Linked DNA regions of Ovis aries. The protein of the gene in region 6 interacts with the protein of the main gene of each other region in a pairwise test. Links are inferred from orthologs where the notes say so. Each region holds a gene or a part of one and is shown on either strand. Other genes may lie near its edges. The genes, in order: CRY2, NOL4L, KLF3, NOL4, KLF12, CTBP1 and HEMGN.

Region 1 (3,944 bases), on a different chromosome or scaffold from region 6:
CATATTCTCGGCTGCCTTTCTCTGTCCATTTTGACTCTTAGAAAGTGTCCTTCATGGTTATTTTAATCTGATTTATCTGCTGAAGAACGCAGTGTGGGAGTCAGTGTAGGAAGTGCAGGAGGATAACAGAGACACAGATTGTGGCCCCCTGGCCTCTGGCAGAAGGCCTGGAGCCCACTCTTCCGCGGAGGCTTCTCAGAAGCAGCAACTGAAGTATTTGCAGAGCTAGAATGTTCTGCTGTGGCACAGTTCTCCCAGGTCACTTCCAGATCCAGAAACAGCCACTGGAAGACTACACCTATTGTAGTTATGCAGAGGTGCGTCTGGCTCTATCTCTCCCTCAACCCCCAACAAAATGCACAAAACCGCCTGCAGTTCTGCCTTCACGCTGAACCTGGGAGCAGAGTATGGTGGGGGTGGTATGAATGCATCTGTGTCCAAACCCAAGAGCAATGATCGTATTCCATCTACTTTGGGTGACTTCACCTCTCGTCTGATGCCAAAACAAATCGCACTTCTTGCCAATGAGCTGCAACACGTATCCCAAGTTGTCAGGCTGGGGTTCTCGGGCCAGTGCTTCTCTGGCTTTGCTGCACATGACAGCTTTAAAGACCCTAGTGCCCAGGCCATAACCCAGAACAATGGAATAGAACTGGGAGAGAAGGGGACCCAGGCATCTTTTAAAGGTCCTTAAATGATTCCTGTGTGCTGCAAGGTTAAGAACCACTGCCCTAGTATGTCCCCCAGTTTTATTTATTTCATGGCATCAATTCTACTAAAGGAAGGCTGGTTACTTGTCTTGTGCCACGAAAACATAGGCTCCGGGTGCTCTGGATACCACATCTGTGTGTCCACTGCTGTGTCCCTAGCAGCAGTGCCTGGCAGATATTAGGCATTCATTAAATAATTGCTCCATTAACATCTGCATTCCTGCATGGCCTCTGACTTCAGGATTTGACCCGAGCATCTGAGTTTAATCAGCAACAGAGTTTTCGTCATTGATCTGTGACCTCCACTACCACAAAAGTATAGGCAGTCCTATGCAATGTCCTCCAAAACCTAATAAAAGAAGAACCTCCTTCGTGACAATACAACCAGCAAGCAGTCTGGATTCTATTTACTCTGCCTGGCACGCTGCCACTGGGAGAGGGGCAGAGTCTGAGACTCAGTCCATGCTAGGGATGGCAGGTCATTTGAGAGTGTTTGTCAACCCCAACCTCCTATCTATAGAAACTGGAGCAGAGGCAGAGCAATACAGCAGCTGAAAACTGTGTGGGCAGGCTCTCCACAGGACTGTTTTTAGTGGTTCTCTCAATACTATATTAAGTGGGGCGGGAGGGGCACTGAATAGACCCACTGCTGGGGGCACTCACTCTCCTCGCAGGGCACACACCTTGGAAAGGAAAGAATGGTGGAGAGCCGGCGTATCCCGGGAATAACTCTGCCCCTTGTGCAACAAGGCCACAAGCAAATATCCTCCAGAATAATGCAAACAAACCAGAGGACTACTGCAGGGCGTGTTGCACACAGATGGGAACACAGTGTCTCAGAACCCCTTGGTTTCAAACACTGCTTAGAGAGAAAGCACATCCACTGCCTCTTTGTTCATCTTTTCCCATGATCCTGTCCACTCCATCTCCTGGGTGTCATCAAAGAGGGGCCCTCGATACCACTGCTTTCCTGCTCCCTATCTCAGCACGTCAGCTGATAAAAGTCTAATTCACAATCGCTCATCCGTGCTTTAAAATCAGTCTTGAGAGAAGAAGAGGAAGGAGGGGACATTTTTGGTTCCTTTCTTTTTTTTTTCCTGGTGAGTCCATAGCTGCTGAGGGAATTCTCCAAAGTGGGTTAAGCACTGTTCTCTGCTCTCTAGCTCAGGACAAAGTGTCTCTAACTGAACATGCCCTTGAGCCTGGCACTTTGCTTTATCTGATGCTAAGCCAGAGTCTCTAGACATCTCCCAGAGACAGGATGATCTTGGTGGAGGGAAGGCAGGATGGATGAAAAAAATGGATTAAAAAAGCCCCGGGGCTTAAAGATGACCTTCAGGAGCTGGGCAATGCGCTCTTTACTTGAAGAACGCAGGCATCTGCTGTGCTGTCAATTCAGGAACCCTCCCTGTCCTCACCCCACCCCCACCCCGCCCCAGGTTCATGCCTAGACAGGAGTCCCTATTCTGCCACTCACTGGCTGCAAGTCCTCGGGCAGGTCAGCTTGTCTCTCTAGGATTCGAGTCTCACCCGTACAACGGGGATCATGATCTGTCCCACAGGAACGTCGTGAGGACCAACCAAAGAGGGCAGCACCCAGTGCGGACCCGCGGTGTCAGAGGCTAGCCCTCCTGAGGCTAACCCCTCGACCCCAGGCCATTACTACCGGGACTCACTGCTTCCCCGGTCCCGGCTTCTCCCCTCCGGGCACTTGGCTCCGTCGCCCTGCTGCACCTCCTTAAGGTCGGGGTCTTTCGGCAGAGGCGACTGGGACCAGAGCCTCCGCTTCTGAGGGTGGGTGCCCCAGAGGCCAGGCTGCGTGCTCCGGGCCCAAGAACCGCGCCCCCGCCCCGGGGCCCCCCTCACCTCCATCGGTTGATCCCGACTGAGGAGGAGGCCGCGAACCAAGGGTCGAGGATGTAAACGCAACGCACGCAGTGCGCCCCGCGCACAGCCGCCAGCAGAGCCGGGTTGTCATGGAGCCGCAATCCCTTGCGGAACCAGTGCACTGAGGAGGCGCCGTCCCCACGGGGCGCGGGCGCCTGGGCCGCCGCCGCCGCTGAGGCAGTCGCCGCTGCCGCCGCCGCCATCACCGCCCTGACTGCTGGAGCTGCCACCGCCCCGCCCCCATAGGCGCCGCGGGCCTGGCCCCCGGCCCGCCCAGTGACCTATGACGCCACGGCTCCTCCCTGGGGCCCCGCCCCACGACCCTGGAGCGCCTCTGCTATTGGCTGAGTGCCTCTCGCCGGACGATTGGCTCTGAGGCGCCCTGGTCTGTCCCCGCCCCCTCACGTTCCCGCCATGTGTGGGCTCTCTGGAGAGGAGCCCTAGGGCGAGATAGAGTGGAGCTTCCCAGGGAGGTCTGGGCGTGGACGGTGTCTGGAAGGACAGTGGATCCCAGACGTCTTGCTTGAAGCTGTGCGGGCTGGCGGGGTTGCTGTGACTCCAAAAAGTGACTAACAGGACGAACAAATGGCTGCCCTACGTCATCATCGTCATCGATAGCATCGTCACCTACCTCACTCTACATCGTTACATTTTACTACAGCCACTGTTTATTGAGTGCATCTTTTAAGCCAAGCAGCATGATAATACCCTTACACTGACGCGTGGAGAGGTGCCCTGCTGTGCAGCAGCAGATGGGTTGGGAGTAGGGACTGGAAACGTGGAGGATGTGATTTGAGGTAGTAATGATGCCTTCAGATGAATTTTTTCCGTTTGTTCTGTGTTTAGTAGACTCAGTGGTACCTCTGTATGCAAAGCACTGGACTGAAGTCTGTGTGAGATTGACAAGTGGGGTCCTCTGCTTCTGGGGGTCATCAAATGAATCTGTCTCAATTTGGCCCTAGGTGTGCCTGTGCTCAGAACACTTCCTGAACTTGGGAATGAGAAATGAAGGAGTTTAGCAATATAGCCAGCAATTTAGCAGCATTACTTGGAACAACTCTGTAAACCACAGTGTTATTGCAATCCTAGGCTCTCTCATTGTCAGGGCTTTGTACAAACTGTTCCCTCAAACCTGGATCACATACCACACCCCACCCCCTTTCTAATTTCAGTTTGTCCTGTGTCTCTGCTCAGTGTGACTTCACCAGGGCTTCCCAGGTGACTTAGTAAAAGAGAATCCACTTGGCAATGCAGAAGACATGGGTTCAATATCTGGTCTGGGAAGATCCCCTGGAGAAGGAAATGGCAACCCACTCCAGTATTCTTGCTGGGGAAATCCCTGCACAG
Region 2 (3,500 bases), on a different chromosome or scaffold from region 6:
CCTCTGCCCTGGGCCTTGGCTGCTTGATGGGCAGCCTGGCCCCGCCCCTGGGCAACCGGCAGGCCAGTGATTGGTTGGCGCGCTAGAGCCGCTCGGTCGCCATGGGGACGCTCGGGAGGTGCGCGTGCCCAGTGCCCAGCACCAAGGACTAAATCTTCATAATCTGCTGGCTGGGAGGGGTGGGGGTGGGGGTGGGGTCGTGCGCGACCCTGGCGGAGGTGGGGGGGAAGGGGTGTCCTGGGATGCGGTCAGGGCTCCCTGCGGCCGCCCCTCCCCCTCCCACCCTGGTGGCAGGTGCAGAGCCGCTTGGGCACCTGGGCGCCACCAGGAACCACGCGGTACTCACCTGACAGTAACCCCGGGAGCTAGACTGTAGCTTGGGCCTCTGCCTTCTCAGCTGACCAAGCAGGAGGCAGGGGGCAGGGTCGGGGAAAGGAGCCTGAAATTCATCGGAAAGGTCTAGCCCCGGAGTTAAGTTTGTCGTCTTGGATTCCCCGGCAATGCTGTGCTCTCTGCAGCAGGGGGCGCCCTCCACAGGGCTTTGTAGGGCTGTCGCCGCAGGAAAGGCGGGATGGCCCACTGAGGTGCCGCGGACAGAGCCCCTGCAGCCCTGGCTCTGGGTGTCCAGTGTCGTGTGGCCATGCGGAGAGGCAGGTCTGTGTCTACACAGGCTGTCCAGGGTTGGGCCCAGGCCTGCTTCCTGGGAGCAGGGGTGTCACAGTGGAGCCATCCTTAAGTCAGGGGGTGGAGAAATTCCAGGGTCTGCGGTGGGGAGGGGTCCTGTGGGGAAGAGGGTGTGAAGGGGTGAGGCAGTGGTGAGCCAAAGGAAAAGCCCCGTGCAACCTCCAGGGGTGTCAGAGGAGCGCTGGGCCAGTGCCGGGTGGGTTAGACTGGAGGCTGCAGCCGCTCATCCCAGGCCCTGGAAGCTGAATGTGGCATTTGTACGGGTGGACGGCAGAAGGCCCCCACGCCCTGCACACTCCATAGCTGCTCTGCTCCTGGTGGCCCCGGTTTCTGGCAGCGGGACCCTGCCCCCGAGCTCGAGGCTGGGGTAAGGCTTGGAGCCTCTTGGAGCCTCCAGTAGGGACAGCAACGCTCTCCTGCCCAGGGATGCCTGTGAGGACTACACGGGGCAAGTATCACTTCCCTGAGCTGCCCTGCCACATACCTGGGGGTGTCTCGGGGCCGGTGAGTGCTGGGGTGGGGCCTCACACCCAGGCCTCTCGTTCCAGACGACTCCTCCTCTGAGAGCGGCAGCGGTAATGGCTCCTCCACCCTGAACCCGTCGACCTCCAGCAGCACGCAGGGAGACCCGGCCTTCCCCGAGATGAACGGCAACGGCGCCGTGGCCCCCATGGACTTCACCGCCAGCGCCGAGGATCAGCCCATCAACCTGTGTGACAAGCTCCCGCAGGGCTCTACTCTGGGCACGCCCTCCTACCCCTCCGATGGCTGCAGCGCCGATGGACTGCGGAGCCGCGTCAAGTACGGGGTGAAGACCACCCCCGAGGTGTGTGGGGCTGCGGGCTCCCCACAGTTGTGAGCTTCAGCCACTCCTGCATACACGGCAGGGTTGTGCGAGGCTGACGTGAAGTTGCGTGTGGCCATCACCAGCGGAGGCAGGGTGGTGGCCGTGGCCACTGTACCACCGTTTGCTTGGGGAGGTCGTGAAGCGGGAGCAGGCCCCTCACTTCTCCGCCTGTGTCCCCATCTGTGAAGTGAGGCTAGTGGCCTGGGCCCTAGTGGAGGTGGGGAGGGATGTGTGGCCTGGCCCCTCTGCCTCCATAACAGGGTCCGCTGTGAAGAGCAGCAGCAAGCGGGCTTCGCTCAGCAGAGGCCCCAGGCTTCCCATTTGCTGACTGGTCTGCACGCTTGTCCCCATTTTACAGATGGTGCAGATTGAGGCCTTGATGGCCTCAGGGACATGGAGGTATAAAATCCACTAGAGCAGTCTGAGGTGGGCAGATAGATGCCCCCCATTTGGCCTCCCCGACCTTCTCCTGTTACTTCTGCTGGTCACCTCCAGACCACGAAGATCTGCAGCGTGGCCTTGGGTGCGGGAGCTACCCCGGGGAGAGGGCATTTTCTCCTGCCAGGGCTGGAGGGCCAGAGGTGCTTTCTCAGACCCCTACTCTCCTGGGCTCCAGCCGAGGCCCCTGTTCAGGTTCCTTCTCCTCCTGGGGCCTGTTTCCTCTTCTGCAGGGGGTGTAGGGTGGGTACCAGTGCTGGCCTGCAGTGGTATCTCTCGTGGGATGTTTCTGTACAAGAGTCTCTATACAGTCGTCATACGGTCAGCGTACCCGAGCCCAGGCCACGGAGCCAGGACTGGCAGTGCATCGTCCTCCCCCTCCACTTTTATTTTTCCAATTTATTTTCTGGCCGAGCCCTGTGGCATGTAGGATCTTAGTTCCCCGGCCAGAGATTGAACCTGTGCCCCCTGCATTGGAAGCATGGAGTCCTAACCACTAGACCACCAGGGAAGTCCCCATCCTCCCCGTTGACTGAGTCCCAGTGGCAGGCACAGCCTCTGTACGGCAGGCAGAGAGCCGGCACGCATGAGGTGGCCGCTGTGGCCTCAGGCCACTCGTGTGGACCACGGAAGTGAGATGGGAGCGTGAGTGTCTCCTACAGTCTGTCTCCTCTCACCCTGGCTGAGGATCCGTCAAGGAGCGCCTGGGAATGTGACTGACCCATGGCCACTTTGACCCTCCTGTGCGAGTCTGACACAGCCTGGCAGGAGGCCAGAGGACCCGGCTGTCCCTAGCCCTTCAGAGACTAGGTGTGGTGGGCACTGGGTGTGATTGAGAGGTGGGCACAAGGCCAGGGACCCTGGGAGGGCTGACCCTGCTGCGTGTGGTCACATGGAGGCTGGTGGTGGCAGCTACTGCCGGACAGGGCAGCAGTCAGTGTGTCTTTATCCTTTTGTTCATCAGCAAGAGCTGGGTACCACCTGGGCCACTGTATAGCCATGTGGCAGGGTCTGATCTGTTTCCTGGGGTTGACCACCTACTAGAAGCTATCCTCTGTGAGGGCAGAGGATCCCATTTCAGGACCTCCCTGTGTTTCCAGGACACTGCCGGTCAGGACTCGCCAAAGCCACAAACTTTCTAAAAGGCAAACGACAGTGGTCTCTGGCCTTACCAGAGCATGTGTGGCAGGGGGCAGGAGACAGGATGGGAACTGAGCTGTAAAGGATGAAAAAGAGGGAAAAAGCAGGGAGGAGAGTGGGGAAGTGTATTCCCGGGAGAGCTAGGGAAGGGCTCCTTATTCTGGAGGGCAGAGGAGGGGTCCCGTCTCTGCTCCTGCTGCAGGACAGGGCGGTTGCCCCGTGGGCTGGGCCTGGTTCCCTCTCCTCTTTCTACACACGGGCTCTGCATCAGGTTGCCGGTGACTTCCGGGGGTGGCGGCAGACGGGAGAAGCCCAGCCCAGGAGCTGCGGGGATGCTCTGCCTGATGGCCGTCTCCTTGGCTGGTTCTCTCCCAGCCCATCTGTTCCCTAT
Region 3 (4,155 bases), about 59 Mb from region 6:
ATAAGCAAGATCTGTAAAAGCAGTCCAAGACTGCTCAGAGTTATCTGTTCAGTGAAGCCTCCTATGCCTAGTGTCCAGTGGTAAATGCAATGAGCCACATCCTTCAGATCCTGCTAGTTCTTCTGAATTGTAAGGTGTAACCTCATCCAAAATTGACAGCTCCAGGGTAGAATGCCTATCGCCAAACCAATACTCAAAACAAGAAGGAAAAGCAAACAAAACAGCCTTCTTCAGATTTCCAGCCAATACACACACACACAGTTCTTGAAATTGAACTAATAAACTAAAAAAAAAATGTAAAATTACTTATTCACCCATATAAACACATTGGAGCAAAGGGTGTACGTAAAAAGGTTAACTGACTTTTGTCATTATGACATAACACAGGCATCTTAGGCAATCCTAAGTGTGTGGAGACATGATAACTCCCTGGGTGGGGACAGGGAGTTTGAGGGCAGGGACCATGGCCTGGTCTGGGCTACTGATCTACCAGAAAACAGCCTGAAACAGGAAAGAGCACACATATGCCACTTGGAATGTATGACGCAAACCCCAGCCTTGAAACAAAGAACAGGAAACAGCTCTGCTGGCTGTGCTGGAGAGAAAGCACAGAGAAACATTTAGCCGGCCCTCCCTGACCCTATATTCATGAGCAGCTGGAGTTTTTTAAGACAACAACAGGGGGGTGGAGGTGTTTGTTCTATGGGTGTGAATAATAACACCAGCTTTATACAGGAGACCTGCCCTATTTACAAATAGGAGCTTCCACATACAGTAAACATCATAAGTGAACATGTGATTTTATCATATTCAAGCAGCAGCAACCTTCCTAATTAACACCAGCCTCCCTGCCAATTTCTTTTGTCTCTTTCTCCCCCATCCCAATGGCTGGTCTCTAGCTACAGTCAAATTCTGGGTTGGGGTAATGCATACTGCACAGTCTCAGAGCATCGGGAGGAAACGGAGAGAGCACTGCAGCTGAGGATTCAGATGACACTGGGTCATCCCACATAACTGAATGGGACCAATTTTAAGTGTTCCTGAGCCACAGAACTAAATCCTAAGACAAAGAGCGTGGAGACCTCTAAAGTCATCCCAAATTTTCAGTCTTTTTCAACTGCAGAGTTACAAAGATATTTGCACACCGCTGCACATCTGTTCTACATGTACACACATCTACAGAAATCCACCTTGAGAATGCAATTCTGTTCCTGAAATTTCATTTAATCCAACTGAAAAATTGTTATACAATCTGTAGAATAGAGTATCGATTTTTATAAGATGTTCTAAAATGTCTATTTTCCTTTAGGCATTTGTAAGGTAGCAAAATCCATTCACTAGTCCTTTCCCCATTATGTCTCTTTATTTTGTTAGCCAGTACTGTTTAACTAGGTTCCTATTAGCAGAGATTTAAGAATCTGTGTGTACATATAACTACAGGTAAAAAGAAAAAAAGGAAAAAAAAAAGGCATCACTGTGTCCACAGCAACCAGAAGATTGGGTTTTAATTTAGAAACTTTGCAGTGAAAAAAACAATAGCTTTCTCCAAAGCTATGTTGCCATGTTTTACATCTGACAAGGTTCTGTGGTCTAAGCAGTTAGTTTTGTTCTTCTCACGTTAAGGATTTTCATACTTGCATTTTCCTTCAGGCAGGTAGAATGCTCCTTATAGTCTATTTTCACTGACCTCACCCATGGTACATTAGGCTGCTTTTTTCTAACAGTTCTGCAGCAAACCCCACTGACTGTAGAAATTGAGATATCAGCTTCTTTAGGGAACTGAATGAAATTAAACATCCCATTTAAGGTTTCTGTGAACAGAACAAAGTCAACTTCCATACCTCATGTTTCAAGCCACAGAAGAAACACATCCACTCTTTAAAAAATACTACTAACTCACAAAATTTTCAAGATGTTAGTGTCATAAAAATTTTTTCCCCTAAAAGCAAGTCTTCTCTTGGGTTATGCAGATTATCATCCGGATGAATTTCTCTTTTAAAAATGCTCCTCAAATTCATACATATAAAGCACTCAGAAAAGGACAGCACAAAACTGTTCTGTGAAGTAACCTATAATGAACAACTGCCTTATACCCTACTTGATTTTGTTTAATAATTAGACACCAAATCTAAATGAAGTCAGAATACCACTTCACACTTCTCTATACACCAGACTCTTCTGAGAATATAATCAATATGTTTAAAATGTCTTGGATGACCTATCGAAAAATACATTCTGAGTTAGTAAAAAACAAATTCAGTGTACAATGTTTATTTTAGTGAAATACAAGAAGGTGAGCAATTACCAATTTCCCTTTAACCTGGCTTAGGGAAAAAAAGTCCCATTCACACGGTCTTCATCTAGTTTTATATACTGCTGTAAAAGTGGAATACTGTTCTCGCTTTTATCTGCCAGAGAAGTAGCTATGACAATTCCAGGTATTGTCTGCTATCTCCAAAGGTAGGTCCCAAGCGTCCAGGTCCAGAGATCCCTCCCTCGGCCCCCACCCGGCTCGGGGCCCTAACACTGCAGGCAGTCGCCTAAGGCGTTCTTCGCCTCCAGCCACGCTGCAATCCTTCCTCCAGACACTGCGGCAGGTTCTCTCCTTGCACCCGAGGACGACTCTCCAAACCCGGCCAGCTCTTTCCCCTGCCCTCAGGGATCCAGACGCCCTGGCCAGCTCCTGGACTCCAGGACCGAGAATGGGATGCTCCCTCCACTCCCGATCGCCCCAAGTTTCTTCCCAGAGGGCCCGCCAGGCTGCTCCAAGTTTGCTCCGGCGACGGGTGAGCGGCAGCGCGCCCGGTCCGAGAAGGGGGGCGGCAGGGGGCGCAGGCGGGGGGCGGGGAGAGGGAGGGTGCGGGAGGTGGGGGACGAGGAGGGGGAGGAGCAGGAGCGCGCGGCCTCGGCGCTACCTTTCTCCAAACAACGTTGCCACACGCGGAGAACACTAAGATTTCTGGGGCTTTGGAGGGAATCGCGAGCGGGCAGGCGGGAGGCGGTCGGGGGACCACACAGGTGAGCCCCCGCCCGCGCCCTATCCCGGGCCGCGGCGGGCGCCGCTGGCCTTGCTCGTCGCTCCCGCAGATCTGCACGGCGGTTCTCCCCAATCCTACACTTTCCACCGCGGAACCCGGGGGCCCCCTCCCCCTCGCCTCCTCTTCCACCCCCGCCCCCGGCTGCGCGGAGCTGTTGCACTTTCCCAAGCCCGGGGGCGCCCCCACCTCCGCGCTGCACCCCCAGCCCATTCACCGCACGTCGCCCCCCTACCCGGGAAAAAAAAAAAAGGAAACTGGACTAGCCGAAAAGGGGGGCAGCGGGAGTCGGGGCGAGAAGGAAAGGTGAGCGAGAGGGGACTTACTTTTCGAGGCGCGGTGCTGAGCGCTGCAGGCGAGAAATAAAGGCCCGGATCCGGGCTGCCTGGAACCCCGCGGATGCAGAGGTGTCAGCGCTCCAGTACGGGCGGCGGCCGCAGGGGACAGGGACGGGGACAGGCGCGCGTGCGGCGGGCGCGGCTCGGCTCGGCGGGCGCTCGCGCTGCGCTCCGGCTAGGGCCCGGGCTCCGCGCGGCTCCGCTCCTGGCTCCCCTCTGGCTCCTGGCACCAACTCCGGGCAGTCACATGACGCCGGCGCCGCTCGCTCTGCGAGCCTCCCAGGGCTGGCGGGGTAAGTAGAGGCTGGGACCCGGGGTGGGAGGGTCAGGGAGGGGAGAGGGAGCCGCCGCGGCCGCCCGGGCTGGGCGGGTCCCCACCCACTTGGGTGGAGGCAGCCGCCGGAGGGGTCGGCCGAGTCACTCGCGCAAACACGCACCCCGCCCTGCGCCCTTCCCCCGCCACCCCCGCCTCCCGCGCCGCCTCCGCCCCGCCCCGCCCAGTCACCCGGGGAAGGCCTGACAGACACTCATTATTCCCCGGAGCCGGGCGCCGCCCCGCCGGCCCAACCTGTCCCGCGAGGCGCGGCGCGGCCGTGGGGCTGGGCGTGCGCGGCCCCCGCCCTCCGCCTCCCCCTCCCCCCCGGAGTCCCCGCCCGCGCCCCCTCCCGGCGCCCTCCGCCCTCGGCCCTGGAGCGCGCGGCCCAGCCCGGCCCGGCCCCGCCGCCGCGCCGCCGCCCGAGCCCGGGGGGAAGGAAGGGCGGCGCTGGCCGCTCCGGGCGTCA
Region 4 (3,500 bases), on a different chromosome or scaffold from region 6:
ATGATCTTTGTTTCCTGTATACGTATTTCTTTGCGACTTTCATGACCAACTTAAAAATTCATTGAAAATCGTAACATGACCGTACCTTGCTTCCATTTTCTCTTGCTTCTCGTTCCATCTTGAGGTCGGAAATTAGAAGGTTCTTATATTTGTTTTTTCCATTAGTGCTATGGTCATCTATTCTGTATTCCGAAGTCAGCTGTGCTGAGAGGGGACTGTCGCTCAGGTTCAGTGGTTGCTCGTCCTGTTCCAGCCCAGCTTTGCCATCACAGTTGGGGTCGCCCATCTCCCTGCTGTGTGTTCCCCCTGAAGCAATTGAACTGTGCCCCAGAGTCTCGTTGCCATTGAAGCTCTCTGTGGCAGAATCATCTGTTGGAAAGAAAAAATTTATATTTTGATTTTAATTGATATGCTGATAAGTTTCTACTTCAACAAACATTTATTGAGCTCCTATTCTGAGCTTGGCATGGTACTAACCAATTTTACATATAATGTGCAGTTTATCCTTAGCAAAAACTTGTGAAGTAGTCTGTATCATTTTTAACCTAGAAGGCATACATATGTAGGCACAAGAAGTGAAGTATAAAATAAATAGAAGATAAAATAATCTGAAGACAAAATAAGCCTTTCAATTGCAAACACAATCTCAAAGAAAAGTAAATTTTAAAAAATTGCCGATTATTTTGCAAGTAGTTTTTGTTTTTTTCAGTGAGATTGTCCAGATTCAGTGAAAACTCTCTGATGAGAGCATTGTCCACCCTGCTAGCAGCTTATATACTAGTACAAGCTTTATGGGCATTTAATATGCATCTGAAACATCAAAAGTACTCAGAAATTTTGCTCAGCCATTATAAAGGCTTTAAAGCCTAAGGGGTTTAATCATTGCTGGCATCTCTCTGCAGATAAAAAGACCCTGAAATCAGTGTTGCTTATATCAATAATACAAAATTTTAGAAATGATACAGATTGTCAAAAATAGAAATTTGGCTTAATGTATGTTGAAACATTTAGAATATTATGGAATTAGTCAATATCCCATTTTAAATATAAAGGAAAATGTGAATCAAGAGGCACTAAATGGAAAAAGCTAGTTACAGAAAGGTGTGGTCAATATGAGCCCAATTTTTTGAAAAGAAAACATAAATACAAAAACAAAAAGACTGAAAAGCTGTAGTCTAAAATGTTAATATTGATATTGTCTTAACAGTATGGCACTGGATTTTCTAACATATTCTCTATTATCTACCCTATATAGAGTTCATAGATGCAGATGGTGACTGCAGCCATGAAATTAAAAGATGCTTACTCCTTGGAAGAAAAGTTATGACCACCCTAGATAGTATATTCAGAAGCAGAGACATTACTTTGCCAACTAAGGTCCATCTAGTCAAGGCTATGGTTTTTCCTGTGGTCATGTATGGATGTGAGAGTTGGACTGTGAAGAAGGCTGAGTGCTGAAGAATTGATGCTTTTGAAGTGTGGTGTTGGAGAAGACTCTTAAGAGTCCCTTGGACTGCAAGGAGATCCAACCAGTCCATTCTGAAGGAGATCAGCCCTGGGATTTCTTTGGAAGGAATGATGCTAAAGCTGAAACTCCAGTACTTTGGCCACCTCATGCGAAGAGTTGACTCATTGGAAAAGACTCTGATGCTGGGAGGGACTGGGGGCAGGAGAAGGGGACGACCAAGGATGAGATGGCTGGATGGCATCACGGACTTGATAGACGTGAGTCTGAGTGAACTCCGGGAGATGGTGATGGACAGGGATGTCGCGATTCATGGGGCTGCAAAGAGCCGGACACGGCTGAGCAACTGAACTGAACTGATAGAATTCATAATGTACTGTAAAGTATATAATTTATAACATATAATATATAATTTTCTAATAACAAAAATGGAATAATTATAGAAGAAACAGGGAAGGAGAAGAAGCAGAACTAAGAACACTTCTGGCTTTAAAATACAGAAGAAAATTGGTTAGAAGGAAATAATATCATTGAGAGCAAACAAAAATAAAGTTTACCTAAACAATAAAATTCTGTTTGTCTTAATTTCTTCTTTATATTCATAGTAAGAATTTGCTATTCATTTTAAAAGATTATGACTGAGAAAGGCATTAAACTGCTTCCTTTAGAGCAGAGTCACTGATGAAACCATGCAAATATCTGTGACTTTTTGTGAATTTTTTGTTTGATTTCCAATATTCTCAAGTTTGCTTTCCTTTTGTAGAGTACAATGAAATATTTGTCATCTTCTAATCAATCGAAATCACGGAAATAATGTTTACATTCTGAAGGAGTGGTATAACTCACCTGTTAGTTTATTTATTCAACAAACATTTACTGAGTGCCTGATTTTGGCCAAAAGTGGGTAAAATATTTGGTCAATAGAGAATCTGGTGCCTTCAAAGGGTTCACAGATAATTTCGTAACAGAAAAATAAAGATGAAGCTAAAATACAGAGCAAAAAAAGGAACAAGGGATCCAGAACAAGGGATCAAGATATCCAGAAGGTTTTCTAAAGAAGGTGGCATTGGAGTTGAATTCCAAAGCTTGAATCAGGTGAAGAGACTTCCCCACCTAGAAACTGTCAGGTGCAGTCACAGAGGAAAGAATAATCAGGCCCATGAGAAATAAGAGTACTGAGCTGAGTACCAAAGAGACACTGATGAAAGGGAAACCTAAAAAGGGAGGAAAAGAAGTGTTTTGTGCATCAAAGAACTTGGATTTTATCTTGAGAGCAAACAAGTAATTTTAATTACCTGTGGGAAGTAATGTGAAAAAAAAAAATGTTTTAAAGAGATAACTCTGTCTTTGACGAGGAGAATGGTATGAAGGCAACAATCTGGAAGCTGGGGGGACCCTTAGGAGATGTAGAAGTCATCTAACTCAGCTTGTTGAAAGCTCAACAAACTCTAAGTAAAACAGCAGCAGTGCAGAGTAAGAGGGGGTGACTAAAACTATTTTAGAATAGAAAAGATATGTAAAACAAACATACAGTTATCAAAGGCAAAACATTGGAGGGAGGGATAAATCAGGAGCTCGGGGTTAACATACATACACTACTAAATATAATGAGTAGATAACCAACAAGATCCTACTATACAGCAAAGGGGAACTCTACTCAATCTTCTGTAATAACCTAAATGGGAAAAATACCTGAAAAAATGAACATATGCATATGTATAACTGAATTACTCTGCTGTATACCTAAAACAAATGCATACTTGAAAATCAAATATATTTCAGTAAAAATTTAAAAAAAAAAGAGAAGAAGTAAGACTGATAATGGTTGGATACACGGCTAGGAAAAAGTCTAGGTTTCTCACTCTAGTGAAAAATAAAAACAAAGGGCATTCAGTTTAATTTTCAACAAAATAGTATTTTTTAAGCAATTCTCTGAACATATTTTGTGAGAAAATGAAAATGAGTTTGCAGGACAAGAAATTACTCTGTTTATGTACCCATTCAAAAACGGACCTCATTTGGTGAAAAAAAACAA
Region 5 (3,926 bases), on a different chromosome or scaffold from region 6:
CATTAGTAGTGAAACTACTGAATAACTGAAATATTTCAAAAATACACAGAAACCCCTCAAGGATGTTTATCTCCCACAGCGATAATAGTTTTAGGGCATAAATTATTACAATGTTCTGTGAAACCATCCCAACTTTTACCAGCTTTAGTGTATTTCATAGTAATTATGAATTAGAAGATAAAATAAAAAACCCCTTTCCTTATTACATTACAGATTCCTGTCAATTCTGGTATGCTCAAAACCCTCTCCCAACTCAAAGGAGTTTAACCTAATCCAATCGACCAGGCTGCAGCCATAAAGATACAACTTATGCAACCGAATGTTTGTCCTTCAACATCTCATTTCTAAGCTGCTAAAGTTAAACATTTTGTAGCCGAAAAGTATATCCCTTTATCATAACCCATTTCTATGTGGTTTTTAAAAAAATGTAAACAAAAATGAATGAGGTTTACAAATAGCACTCCCAGCCTATTTTATTTTTTAGGTGAGGGGTCACTGTTTTTGCTGAATGCCAATTTCAAAAAGCCTTTCTTAGAAGAAGGAATACACCCAGCCTTCGAAGCGACCACTCCTATTCCCCCATCACAAGCCGCTGCCCGTTAAAAACCACCAAATTCATTTCAAGGCATTTACTTAGCTGAACAACTCTATCCTCCAGTAGGAAGAGGGCATGGAGGCGTCTAGGTGGATTTGCAGAATGACGTCCGTTGATTGGCAGATGTCTACCGAAGCCACTAGACGCACATGCACCAAATGTAAATAGAGCTGCTCCTCTCCCTGGTGTTTCAGGGAAACTGAGAGAATATTAAAGCTGATTTAAAACAAAACATCCGAGGGCTCGGCTGAGGATTCCATTAGCCAGTGGAATTGCCTAAAACAATCCATACAGCGCGACACTTAAACCATCCGTACAGTTAAATTAGAGAGCTGACAATATTAACCACGCGAACTGTTTATCCAGATTACACATTCCGTTGTACTAATACTCTCTAACTCAACACAGTCAGCTTTTACCAGCTGAATTAAGGCTATTACTATTAAAGTATGCAAAACTCGAAGCGCAGGGTGAAGGGGGTTGGGAAGCTGCAGGGCATGTAACAAAGGAATTGGTACTTTTTCCAAGCTTTTGCCCCAAATGCACTTCGAAACTGAACTGTTGAGTGCACCCCACCCTTTTCCCCAAAGATAAAAGTTTTCAAAGTTCTAACAGGCAGTTCTTTGCCCAAGAAAAGCAGGACTGACTCTTCCTGTAGGGAAGCATCTAACGCGAACACCAACTAATGTCGCGGAGGTCAAGTACGAGTCCTCCTCTAAAGGCAAGAAGTGGCTCCCAGGCCGGCTCCGCGGGCTTCCCGCCCGGGTGGCCCTGCAAAGTTGCCCCTTGTCAACTCCGGCCAGGTCCCCCGTAATTGAAAATAACAGCCTCGGGTCAGCCCCCCGGCTACTTCCACAGACCAGGCACTGTAGCAAGTGACAGTTACACATCATTACGACCAGAGACAATAATGAATGTGGCACCGGGACCACTATTCATGCCAGCAGTGTCATCTCCGCTTTAACCCCTTCCCCTCCGCTCTCTCCAGTGCACACCCACAGCCCACACGGCCCGGTGGGGCAGCTCGTCACCCAACTCGCTCTATTCCTGGGGGCAAACTACTTCCACAAGCTCCCCCCCCCCAACCCCCAATTCAGCCCTGGTGTTTTATTTCCCATCCTTGGCAACTGTCAGGCAAACACTGCAAACAACAATTCCACTAGGGATAGAAAAATATTGCTTAATTCAAGCTACTTGATAAGTTCTTTTTAAAAAAATGGGGTGGGGGGGAGAAATCTCCTTTCTTCTCCACGAATCCAACCGACGCTACTTGCTTTGCAAAAGCGTCGCCCTCCCTCTCGCCCCCCCGCCGCCCCGCTTCCCAACACTTTCCCCCTTTAAGAACACAGACCAACCAAAATGACTTAACTTGAGCAGATGACAGAAGAAAAATAAAACACATTAAGAGACTACGGTCTGATCTGGGATGGCACCAGGAAAAAAAAAAAAAAAAGAGGAGGGGGTTGTTTATTTTGATAAGAAACAGAATCGGCACAGACCTGAACAGAAGCTGCAGAGCAGGAGAAATTGTTTTCTTTCCCTCACCCAGAGTCCCCCTCTCTCTCTCTCCCTTTCTCTCGCTCTCACACGCGCGCGCGCACACACTCACGCTCACACACACACACACACACGGCGTCACCCGCGCACACTCACACGCACACTCGCACACGCACGGGCAGAGCCTCTCAGCTGCTCTCTGCAGTTCTCAGGAAATGAATGGGGGGCAACCCAGGGAACTGTTGTACTTGCAAATGACTTACCCGGATCACATGATGCGCTAAATGTAGGGTGGGCCGGTGGGTGGAGGCTGCCGAGACGCGAGCCCGGGTCTAGCGTGGGGAGCCTCGCCAGGCCCGCATCGAATTACCCCGGGGCCCAGCCGAGGGGGTTGCAAGACGCCGCTTCTCCTCCCTTGCAGCCCGCAGCTCAGGAAACCGGAGAGGCGCGGGGGGATGGGGTGGGGAAGGGTGGGGTAGGGTGGGGTGAGTTGGGGGGGCGGGTGGTGAAAACACCAAACCCCCAAACAAAAGAGCTCCGGGTCCTCCTCCCCAGAAACAAAGCCCCGCCGCTGCGGGCGAGCCCCGGGGTGGGGCCGAGGGCGGGGGCGGCGGCGGGGAGGGGCTCGCTCAGCAGGCGCTAAGTCGCTTTATTGCCATAAAATGGGGCCCCCGAGCCGCTCCGCCCGAGGATTAGGAGGCGGGCTCTGAGTGTGATGGTTGAAATCCCCTGTGGGAAACTAACCCCTCCCCGCTCGCAGAGGTAGAAGGCAACACCCACTGCCCGGCCCTCGCCTCGCCGCCCGGGCCGCCGGCTTGGGGGGTGGGTCCGCGGAGCCTCCACCCCGCCCCACCCCGCCCCACCCCTGCCCCCGCCCCCCGGCCTCGGCCGCGCTTCGCGATCACCTGCACCACCTTGCTGCGGCACCCAAAATAACCCACACATGGCCAACACTGCCTTGGGAGCCGCGGGGCGCGAGGGGCCCGCGGGAGGAGCCCCCGATTTCAACTCCTCGGGAGCGGACTCGCGCGGAGCCGCCAGAAAGTCCCCTCTTTTGTGCCAGAGCGCGCTAGGCTGCCTTAGGAAGGGAATTTGGAGACAAATAAAGCGCGGAGCCCGCTCGGCCCACCCCTCCTCCGCCCCCGCCGCTCCCCTCCCGCCCGGGTGGAAACGTGCGGGGAGGGGGCCGGGCGCCCGAGCCGTCCCCGCGGCTCACCCACCAGCTAACTTGGAAAGGTGTGGGCGGAGCCGGCTCCAGCGGCCGGCGGCGGCTCGGGACCGCTCGCGGGGACCGCCCCCGTGGCTCCGGGCATCGCCCGCGCCGGGCAACAATGGGGTCCCGGCCGGGGCGAACGGGCGGGAGGTGCCCTGGGCGCGGGGGCGCACGCGGAGGTGGGGCGCGCGCAGGGCCGGGTGCGGAAGGCGGTGGGGAAATCATTGTTTGGGTTCTCGAGCGACGCAAGTTGCGGGCGAGGCGAGGGCGTCCTCCCGCGCAGCGCTTCACCTTGGCGGGATGAATGGGGGCGAGGCGGAGCCGCACGCCCGGTTCCGGAGCCCCGGGAGATGGGATGCCCGCCCTCGCTCGGAATTTGGGCAGGAAGCGGGAGCTGTAGATACCGGCCAAGGGGCTGCGGGAGAGCGGAGTCCGGCCCTCCCCTCCTCGCTCCCCAGAAGGGAGCCCCGAGAAGCGAGCAGCCCGGAGCTGAGTCCTTGACGCCCTTCCCGAGGGTCCCTCCCTCCTTCGCCGCTTCCGCGCCCCGGAGAGCGGATCGACGAGATTCTGGGGCGGGAGAGAGGGGAGGCGGGCAGCGCGGCCCGGCTCTCCCGCGGCGGC
Region 6 (4,230 bases):
GTCGCTGAGCCCCCAGACTGGTCACAGCACATCCCTGCATCTGCAGAACGCCCCGGGTTCCTGAGAGCCCAGGCCTAGGCCTCAGCGCACCCGCAGCGCTGGCTCAGGGGCACGCACTGGCTCATGCCGCCTGGTGCAGGGCTACGGAGCATCGCAAAGCGGACACTCCCAGAGCTCACCTCCGAACAGCCTCTGCTTCCGCTCCAGCCCCAGAACTGCCGCCTCAAACTCAAGTTCCAAACTCTGCAGCCACGAACAGGGTCCCTGACCCCACGTCCAGCCCTCCAGCCATCTCCCCGGCCCCACGGCCCCCACGCTCCACCAGGCTTCCGGCCTGCACACTGCGGCCCCCTGGTCACCGCAGTCCCTTGCACACGCCTCATCAGCAGGAAGCGCATGCGTCACTGCCCCTGGTACCTTCCCATCCTCCTCTGCAAAGCCGGCCCATCGGTCAGGATGTGCCCTTTGGCTGACCACGAGTCACAGCTGACACACCAAGGCCCCCCGCCCACCCCCGTGTCACTCTGTCGGAAGAGCCGGCAGCAGCCACGCCTTCTCCAGCTCACCCCTGCCCCCAGCACAGCCGTCTGAGCAGGGTTCTGGCCACACTGACAGGGCGGGTCTGGCTGTGGTGGATGCTGAGCCCCTGGAGGCAAGGCCAGGGGGCTCCCCCAGGCACACAGGGCTTCAGAGCACCCGCAGCAGGCCCACCCACCAAGAGTCAGCCTCACAGCGCAGTGTCCTCAGCTCCTCAGAAACCAAAAGGCGCCCCGCACACGTGCTAGATAAAAGCCGTGACGCGAGGCACGTATGTGTCACGAAGACCCCTCGCCACTCGAATTCATCTCTGCCACCGTCTTCACTCACGCCCACCTGTGTGCACATGCCCTGCTACCTTCGTGATGCTCAAGAGTCCCAGGAAAACTTCACCCAAATCAAGTGACAGAGAGGGGCAGGTTCACTGTGAAACAAACCGCGGCCCTGCACGCCACCCTCCTGCCTTCCGGAGGGACAGTCTGCACAGGGACCCCGGTCCTGAGCCTTGCCCCCTACCTCCAGGGCCTAGCACCCTCCCCATCCCCCGCCCTGCCCCTCCACCTGACAGGTGGCACCCGCTCCGTCACGTGGCCCCACTTCTAACGCTCCAGCCCCTCTACAGCCACAGCGCAGAGAGCACAAGGCCACGACCATGCACCAGGCAGGGGCTCAGCCTGGGCTCCCTGAGCGCCAGGCCTGCGCTCTTGCCTGCTGCGGCCACTCGTCCAGAGGCTCAGGGATGCCGCCCCGTGCAAGAATGGACAGGAGACGCTAACCCACAGGGCACCCGCCCGTCCACACTGCTGGAGACGAGCTTTCTCCTGAGTGTCTGTCTGCCTCTGCGTACATACATTTGAGACTTGGGTGGGGGGATCCTGGAGAGGGAGAAGGTGCCCCCGCGGGGTAAGACCTGCAGACCCCACTCTGGACCCCTCATGTGCGACCCAACTGTCCAGTCATCCAGACAAACGGGAGGGGTGGTATCACTCCTCGGGGCGGGCTCGGAAGAAAACCAATCCCATCGCACGCCCCAACAGCGAGCCTGTCCTAACCAACCACAGAGAAGAGCATCACCGGAAAGGAGGCTGCCCGCCACAGGCCGCCCTCCCGGCAAGCCCAGGGCCGGGGGTGGGGGGGGACCCTCCGCGGCAGGCAGGCACCGGCCAGAGGGAGCCCCGCCCGGACCCACGGCCGCTCCTGCGTCCACAGACCTCGGAGCCCGGGGCCCGGACGCGCCCCCAGCGCGAGGGGGGCCCGGCCGGGGGAGCTGGGCCTGCTCGGGGGCAGTGACAGGTGGACACGGCCCGGCCCGACGGCGGCGGCGCGCGGCGGCCAGCAAAGCCCCACCGCGGGCCGCCCCCGGCCGCAGGCTCGGGGCGCCGCCCGGGCACGGAGTGCGCCTGCTCCCCACACTTGACAGAGCAAGGAGGGGACGGGGTGAGACGGACGCGGCCACAACCGTCCGGCCGCTCGGGCGGACACGGGCCCGGGCCGGGTGTCACCCCCGCCGCCGCGCCCCGTCAGACGTTTCCACAGCGGGGCCGCAGTGCACGGGGGCGCAAAGCCCCGGAAGGCCCAGCCCCAGAGGACTCGGGGCCGCCGGCGCGCCCGGCCTCCCTGCGGGGCCCCGCCGGCAGGAGCCCCGCCAGCCGGGACCGCAGGGCGGACAGGCCGGCAGGGCCCCCGCCTCGGGCGCGGAGTCCCGGCCGCCACGGTCCTCAGGGCCCCGCACCCCTTTGTGTCACCTGCGCGGGCGGGCGGGCGGGCGGGGCGGCGGCGCACGCGCACTCGCGCACAGCAGCCCGCGCACGCGCGCGGCGGCCCCCGCGGCCCTGACCCCGGCCCCGCCCCCCGGGCGCCGGCGCGCACGCAGCAGCCCGCGCATGCGCACGGCGCCCCCCGCGGCCCCGGCCCCCGGCGCGCGGACGCCGGCGCGCACGCGCACTCGCACACAAAGCCGGCGCCCGCGCCCGCCCCGCCCGCCCCCGCGGCCCCGCCCCGCCCCGCCCCCGCGGCCGGAAATGCGCGCGCGCGGCCTTACCGAGCGGCAGGCCCTTGTTGAGCAAGTGCGAGCTGCCCATGGAAAGGTGCGGGCGGCCGCGGGCCCCGACCAGTCCGGCGCGCTCCGCCGCGAGCCCGGCGCGTGGCGCGGCCTGGGCGCCGTCCGCCGCTCCGCCCGCTTGCCTGCGCCCGGGCGCCGCCGTGCCGAGCCGCCGCGCCGCGCCAGCAGCCGCTCCACCGGGCGGGGACAGGGCGCGCGCGCGGGCGGGGCTTCCGGCGCGGCGGCCTCCTGTTTCCAGGAGCGGGCGCCGCGCAGACCACGCGGGCGGCTGCAGGCCGCGCCCGCCCGCCCCGCCCGCCCCCCGGGCCCGGCGCCCCGCCCCGCCCCGCCGGCCGCACCTGCCGGGCGCCCCGCGGGCCCCGCGCGCGCTCTCGCCGCGGCCCCCCGGCCTGGAGCCCGCTGAGCCCCTCGTGCACCTTCCCGCGTGCTCCCATCCCCGCACCCACGCGCCGGCCGCCGAGCGAGCGGCGTCTGCGACCCCGGGTTTTAAGGGTCCTTTGGGCTCCTTGGGGCCACGAGGTCGGGGGAGGCAGCGGCGCCGCCCCCGGAGGTTCCTCTGAGATAACCGGCCCTTGTGCTTGAGATCCGGGGACCGAGGAGGGCACAGGCCTGGGCGGGGCAGCTCCCCCGGAACCGGGGCGGTGGAAGTGGTCCCTGGGAAGCGGCCAGGTATGTGGCCGAAGTCGGTGTAAATCCGACCTCCCCCACCCCACCCCCAGCCCCAGCGAGCGACCTGTGCTTCGTTCCAGAACTCCCGAGGGGTCCTGGCACTCGAGGGTCAGGAGGGCTCTCCAGGGTGGGAGGTCGCCAGGCCCCAAGGTCAAGGTGCTCCGGTCATGGGCAAGGACGGAGGCTGACCCTGGGAGACCGTGATGTCTAGAGCAGGGGTGTCCTGGCAGTGGGAATGCTGGCAGGTGGCCTTGAAGACGGGCAGTGCCCCTGTCTTCACAGGTGAAAAGCACGCTGAGCAGGACAGCAGTTGGCTGGTGAAACGCGAGGAACCGTGCTGAGCGCAGCTGGCCTCCACATCCTGCACATCCACAAGCCAGTGAGAAAGGGTGGGTGGGTTTGATAAGCGTCGATAGGGGAACTGGGCATCTAGCCACAGAACAGATGCTTTTAAATTCGTGCTTGGTACTCACCTGTGAGATTACCTCCCAAATTGGGTTAATTAGAACATTTAGGGGAAATGAGAAAACAGGGTTAAATGAACATTCAGCAAGTCTCAGAGAACTTTCCTGAACACAGACAAAACCACTCACAAGGGAAAGCCCGGACCCCCAGACCTGGGCACGTGTCTGGCCCGCACACCCCTCTGGCTCTCTCAGTTAACAGGATGGGGCCCCTGAGGCGACTCCTCCAGCCCCTGCTGTCCGAGACCAGGGTTCTCCTTCCCTACCCGGGCCCCAGCCCAAGGTCACCTGCCCCTCTCCAGCCCAGCAAGCTGCGCAGTGAGCGTGAGAACGGAAATCGGATTCCGCCATACCCTGCTCAGAGCCCTGCCAGCTTCTCATCGCACGGGGTGGGTCAGAGAGCCCCGGCCGCCCCCTGCCTCTCTCCCAGCCTTCCTTCCGCGCCTGCCTCGTGCTTCATCCTGGCGTCCTCCTCCCCACTGCCGCATCTGCTGTTTC
Region 7 (3,500 bases), on a different chromosome or scaffold from region 6:
CTCTTAGCCTGTTTTACACAAGACACTGTATTAAATGAGCAAGCCAGGCTCATCACCTGCAGGCTTCACAGATGTGAAGCAGGGCTGCGTTGCAGATTTAGCAACACAATCATATCAGTTTTCCCCACCGGCATAGAGAAACGAATTCACACAGGCTAAACCCAAAGAGACTATTATGTAAAACAGAATGCCAATCTGTTCATTTATAATATCAGTGATACATTTTCTATAACCAAAGTTTAAGTATACGCTCTCAAACACACACACACACACACACACACACACACACACACACACACACACACACACACACTGCTCACTAAGAAGGTGCTTATTGAACCAGTCATCAAAGACAAAAAAGTCCCAAGGGTCATTTCCTCTCCGGACAATTGAGAACATTTAGCACTCCTTCTTCATTTTACACACAAGGAGATTGAGGCCTGGAGAGATTAAGTAGCTTGTTCAAAGTCACGCCACTAGGCAGTGGGAGTCCTGGACTCCCTGGAACAGTTAACTGCCAAACATTTATTTGAATTCTGGATCCCTATTTTTGATAGTAATTCTGATTTCTCCATAGAGAGAAAAAACACAAGCGGCAAAGAACAGGGAAAAGAAATGAAAGAGGCAGAAAGAGACAACAAAATACAGAAATGAAGGTGGAGCTTCCATCACAACTAGAAAGGGAAATGATGGAGAAAGCACCAGCACCTGAAGAGAAAGAAATCGAGCCACCTGGGAGTGTGACCAAAGCTCTCCTTCCGGCAGTGTCCCCACAAAGAGTTGCACCTAAGAAACATGTTTCTGAAGTAGGTCAAGAAAGTGTTATCCTTCAGGAAAATTCTTCTGAGTACCAAGCAATAGCGGTACCAAACCACCCTTCTGAAATAAGCCAAGATAGGGCTGAATCTGAAGACCTCTCTCCTAAAATGTGCCAAGAAATAGCTATATTTCAAGACCAGCCTTTCAAAATGTTCCGTGATATGGCTCAGCCTGAAGACGTCTCTCCTAAAACATGCCAAGAAGCCACTGCAGCCAAAGTCCTTTCTTCGAAAACATCTGAAGATACAACTGACCTGGAGGAACGCTCTCTTGAAGCACACCCCAAACCAGATGCGCCCAAAGCCTCCACTCTTGAAACATACCAGAAAAGACCTGAGCCTGAGGAACCCGATTCTGAACCAGGTCAAGGAATAGTTGAGACTGAAAGCTTTGTTTCTAACACACAGCAAGAAATGGCTGTGCCTAAAGAGCTTTCTACAGAAATACACCAGGAAACAGTTGAACCTGAAGACTTTTCTCATAAAATGTATAAAGAAATTGCTGTGTCTAAAGCCCCCTCTCATAAAACAACCCAAGAAACATCTGTTCCTGAAAAATATCCCCCAGAAATGTACCAAGAAACACCTGGGTCTGAAGAATATTCACTTGAAATATACCAAGAAACACCAGGACCTGAAGATGGTGCACCTGAAATTTACCAAGAAACACCTGGGCCTGAAGACCTCTCTACTAAGACATATAAAGACAAAGATGTTCCTAAAGAATGCTTTCCCAAACTGTACCAGGAAATAGGTGGACCCCAAGACCAGGATCCTAAAGCACACCAGGAAGATGCTAAGGATGTTTATACTTTTCCTCAAGGTATGGGTTTCTTACTGGGGTCAAGTTAGTGACACTGCCATTTCTTAACTGCTTCCTGTTCATAATCAGAGCACCAAATAGGCATCTCTCCCTTGGAGCACTGATTCATAGCCTTCTGTGACAATCCTGGGTTATCCCAGTTATCTCAATAGGTATCTTTGATGCCTTTGTCCAGTTTTAAGTGAAAAATGTTTATCATTCAACTGATATATATTTGGTATATTTCCATGTAATTTAAAGAAAATAATTGAAACTATAAGTGTATATAGTGGGTACCTATACATACTATGCATTTTGGGAAGCTTTAGTAGGTGAAGAAAAATGAACCCTATGTAGAGTCAATTATGTGCAAAATGTTTTGGACAATTACATTTATATTAACACAAAATCTTGGTGAATAAAGTTTTTTTTTTCCTAGAAAATTAACATTTCCTGGCAAACTAAAGGCAAGTAAATTCATGGTACAAGGTACTGAGAAAGATACAAAGACATAAAGTAGGATCCTGATACTAGGGAACTCGTTGTTATAGGAGTTAACAGGCTTACCTTTCTATTTCAATATTTGTCCCTGAAAAGCATAGTATTTTAAAAGCAATGTGACCTTTATTCAACTTTACTTGTCTCAGGGACATATGGAGAAGGTGATGGCACCCCACCCCAGTACTCTTGCCTGGAAAATCCCATGGACAGAGGAGCCTGGTAGGCTGCGGTCCATGGGGTTTCGAAGACTCAGACATGACTGAGCAACTTCCCTTTCACTTTTCACTTTCATGCATTGGAGAAGGAAATGGCAACCCACTCCAGTGTTCTTTCCTGGAGAATCCCAGGGATGGGGGAGCCTGGTGGGCTGCCGTCTATGGGGTCACACAGAGTTGGACACGACTGAAGTGACTTAGCAGCAGCAGGGACATAACTGAGAGCCTTGGCTCTCCTTGTTCAGTCCTGTTCTCGGTGTAGAAAATGGGCTGAGCCTAGCAGTCTATCCCCAGGGAATTGTTTTCTAAAGAAATTCCTTTGGTAGCTTATTTTCTCTTTCTCCTAAAATATGAGTGCAACAAAAACCTGGGCTTAAGTTGGGTTCCAAGCAATATAGGTTTTGAGGAAATACCTTTTTAAAATTACAGTAAAAGCAGACATATGAAACACTACCTGTATTGACAGGAGTCCCCTGCTGGAGACGTGGCTCTAATCAACATAGCACCAGATTCTCAGGGTTTTGTTCTAAACCCAGTGAGGTTAAGACAGGCAATTAATTAATTATTTTATGCTTTTTGGCAATTAATGCTTATCTTGTTTTTTCTTTATCTTGCCAAACAAGTAGAAATGTCTTCCTTTTTGCTGATTATAAAATTGCTATAATGATAATTATAAATGTTCATTATAATAAATTAAAGCAATATCTAAGTGACTATAAAGTGCCCTATGATACCACTTCCTATCTCTGACCCCCAATGTTAAGTTTTTGTTTTAGCAAATGAGATGGTACAATAACATTCTATTCTATAACCTGCTTTTTTTCACATGCCATGTATATTGTGGCCATCCTAATGACATCTTTGTAACAGTTGTTCAGTATTATGTTATATATACAGCAATTTATTCAACCAGTCCTTATAATGATGAACACCTAGGTTACTGCCAAGTTTTACTATTGTAACAATGTTCAATGAACATCATGGGAAGTAACAGTTGTTTAAAATTTATTATAGCACTTTCTATCTGCCAATCTCTCTATTAAACATTTTTTGTGAATTACTTTATTCAATGTTAGAAACCCTAGTGGATGAATAATATGTCCCTATATTATAGGAAAGGAAACTAAGGCACTGAAAGCTTAAGTTGATCTGATTACTTCCTTG

What was found.
Region 1: the proteins of CTBP1 (region 6) and CRY2 interact in binary tests that used the Homo sapiens proteins (3 or more experiments, as listed by UniProt). The two-hybrid records come from large-scale screens. The link is inferred for Ovis aries from reciprocal best matches to the Homo sapiens genes CTBP1 and CRY2.
Region 2: the proteins of CTBP1 (region 6) and NOL4L interact in binary tests that used the Homo sapiens proteins (3 or more experiments, as listed by UniProt). The link is inferred for Ovis aries from reciprocal best matches to the Homo sapiens genes CTBP1 and NOL4L.
Region 3: the proteins of CTBP1 (region 6) and KLF3 interact in binary tests that used the Homo sapiens proteins (3 or more experiments, as listed by UniProt). The link is inferred for Ovis aries from reciprocal best matches to the Homo sapiens genes CTBP1 and KLF3.
Region 4: the proteins of CTBP1 (region 6) and NOL4 interact in binary tests that used the Homo sapiens proteins (3 or more experiments, as listed by UniProt). The link is inferred for Ovis aries from reciprocal best matches to the Homo sapiens genes CTBP1 and NOL4.
Region 5: the proteins of CTBP1 (region 6) and KLF12 interact in binary tests that used the Homo sapiens proteins (3 or more experiments, as listed by UniProt). The link is inferred for Ovis aries from reciprocal best matches to the Homo sapiens genes CTBP1 and KLF12.
Region 7: the proteins of CTBP1 (region 6) and HEMGN interact in a two-hybrid assay, tested with the Homo sapiens proteins (2 studies listed by BioGRID and IntAct). The link is inferred for Ovis aries from reciprocal best matches to the Homo sapiens genes CTBP1 and HEMGN.

What each region holds. Positions count from the first base shown.
Region 1 is NC_056068.1:74,808,396-74,812,339, reverse strand, and holds the start of CRY2 (cryptochrome-2), read right to left. Parts: upstream 2,801-3,944; coding exon 2,577-2,800; intron 1-2,576. UniProt on the Homo sapiens protein: Transcriptional repressor which forms a core component of the circadian clock.
Region 2 is NC_056066.1:61,548,134-61,551,633, reverse strand, and holds part of NOL4L (nucleolar protein 4-like), read left to right. Parts: intron 1-1,232; coding exon 1,233-1,510; intron 1,511-3,500.
Region 3 is NC_056059.1:58,646,304-58,650,458, reverse strand, and holds the start of KLF3 (Krueppel-like factor 3), read right to left. Parts: upstream 2,801-4,155; 5' UTR 1-2,800. UniProt on the Homo sapiens protein: Binds to the CACCC box of erythroid cell-expressed genes. May play a role in hematopoiesis.
Region 4 is NC_056076.1:23,440,148-23,443,647, reverse strand, and holds part of NOL4 (nucleolar protein 4), read right to left. Parts: intron 370-3,500; coding exon 86-369; intron 1-85.
Region 5 is NC_056063.1:49,622,989-49,626,914, forward strand, and holds the start of KLF12 (Krueppel-like factor 12), read right to left. Parts: upstream 2,801-3,926; 5' UTR 1-2,800. UniProt on the Homo sapiens protein: Confers strong transcriptional repression to the AP-2-alpha gene. Binds to a regulatory element (A32) in the AP-2-alpha gene promoter.
Region 6 is NC_056059.1:117,891,533-117,895,762, reverse strand, and holds the start of CTBP1 (C-terminal-binding protein 1), read right to left. Parts: upstream 2,801-4,230; 5' UTR 2,619-2,800; coding exon 2,579-2,618; intron 2,337-2,578; exon of another isoform or gene 180-2,336; intron 1-179. UniProt on the Homo sapiens protein: Corepressor targeting diverse transcription regulators such as GLIS2 or BCL6. Has dehydrogenase activity. Involved in controlling the equilibrium between tubular and stacked structures in the Golgi complex.
Region 7 is NC_056055.1:49,766,583-49,770,082, forward strand, and holds part of HEMGN (hemogen), read left to right. Parts: intron 1-577; coding exon 578-1,641; intron 1,642-3,500. UniProt on the Homo sapiens protein: Regulates the proliferation and differentiation of hematopoietic cells. Overexpression block the TPA-induced megakaryocytic differentiation in the K562 cell model. May also prevent cell apoptosis through the activation of the nuclear factor-kappa B (NF-kB).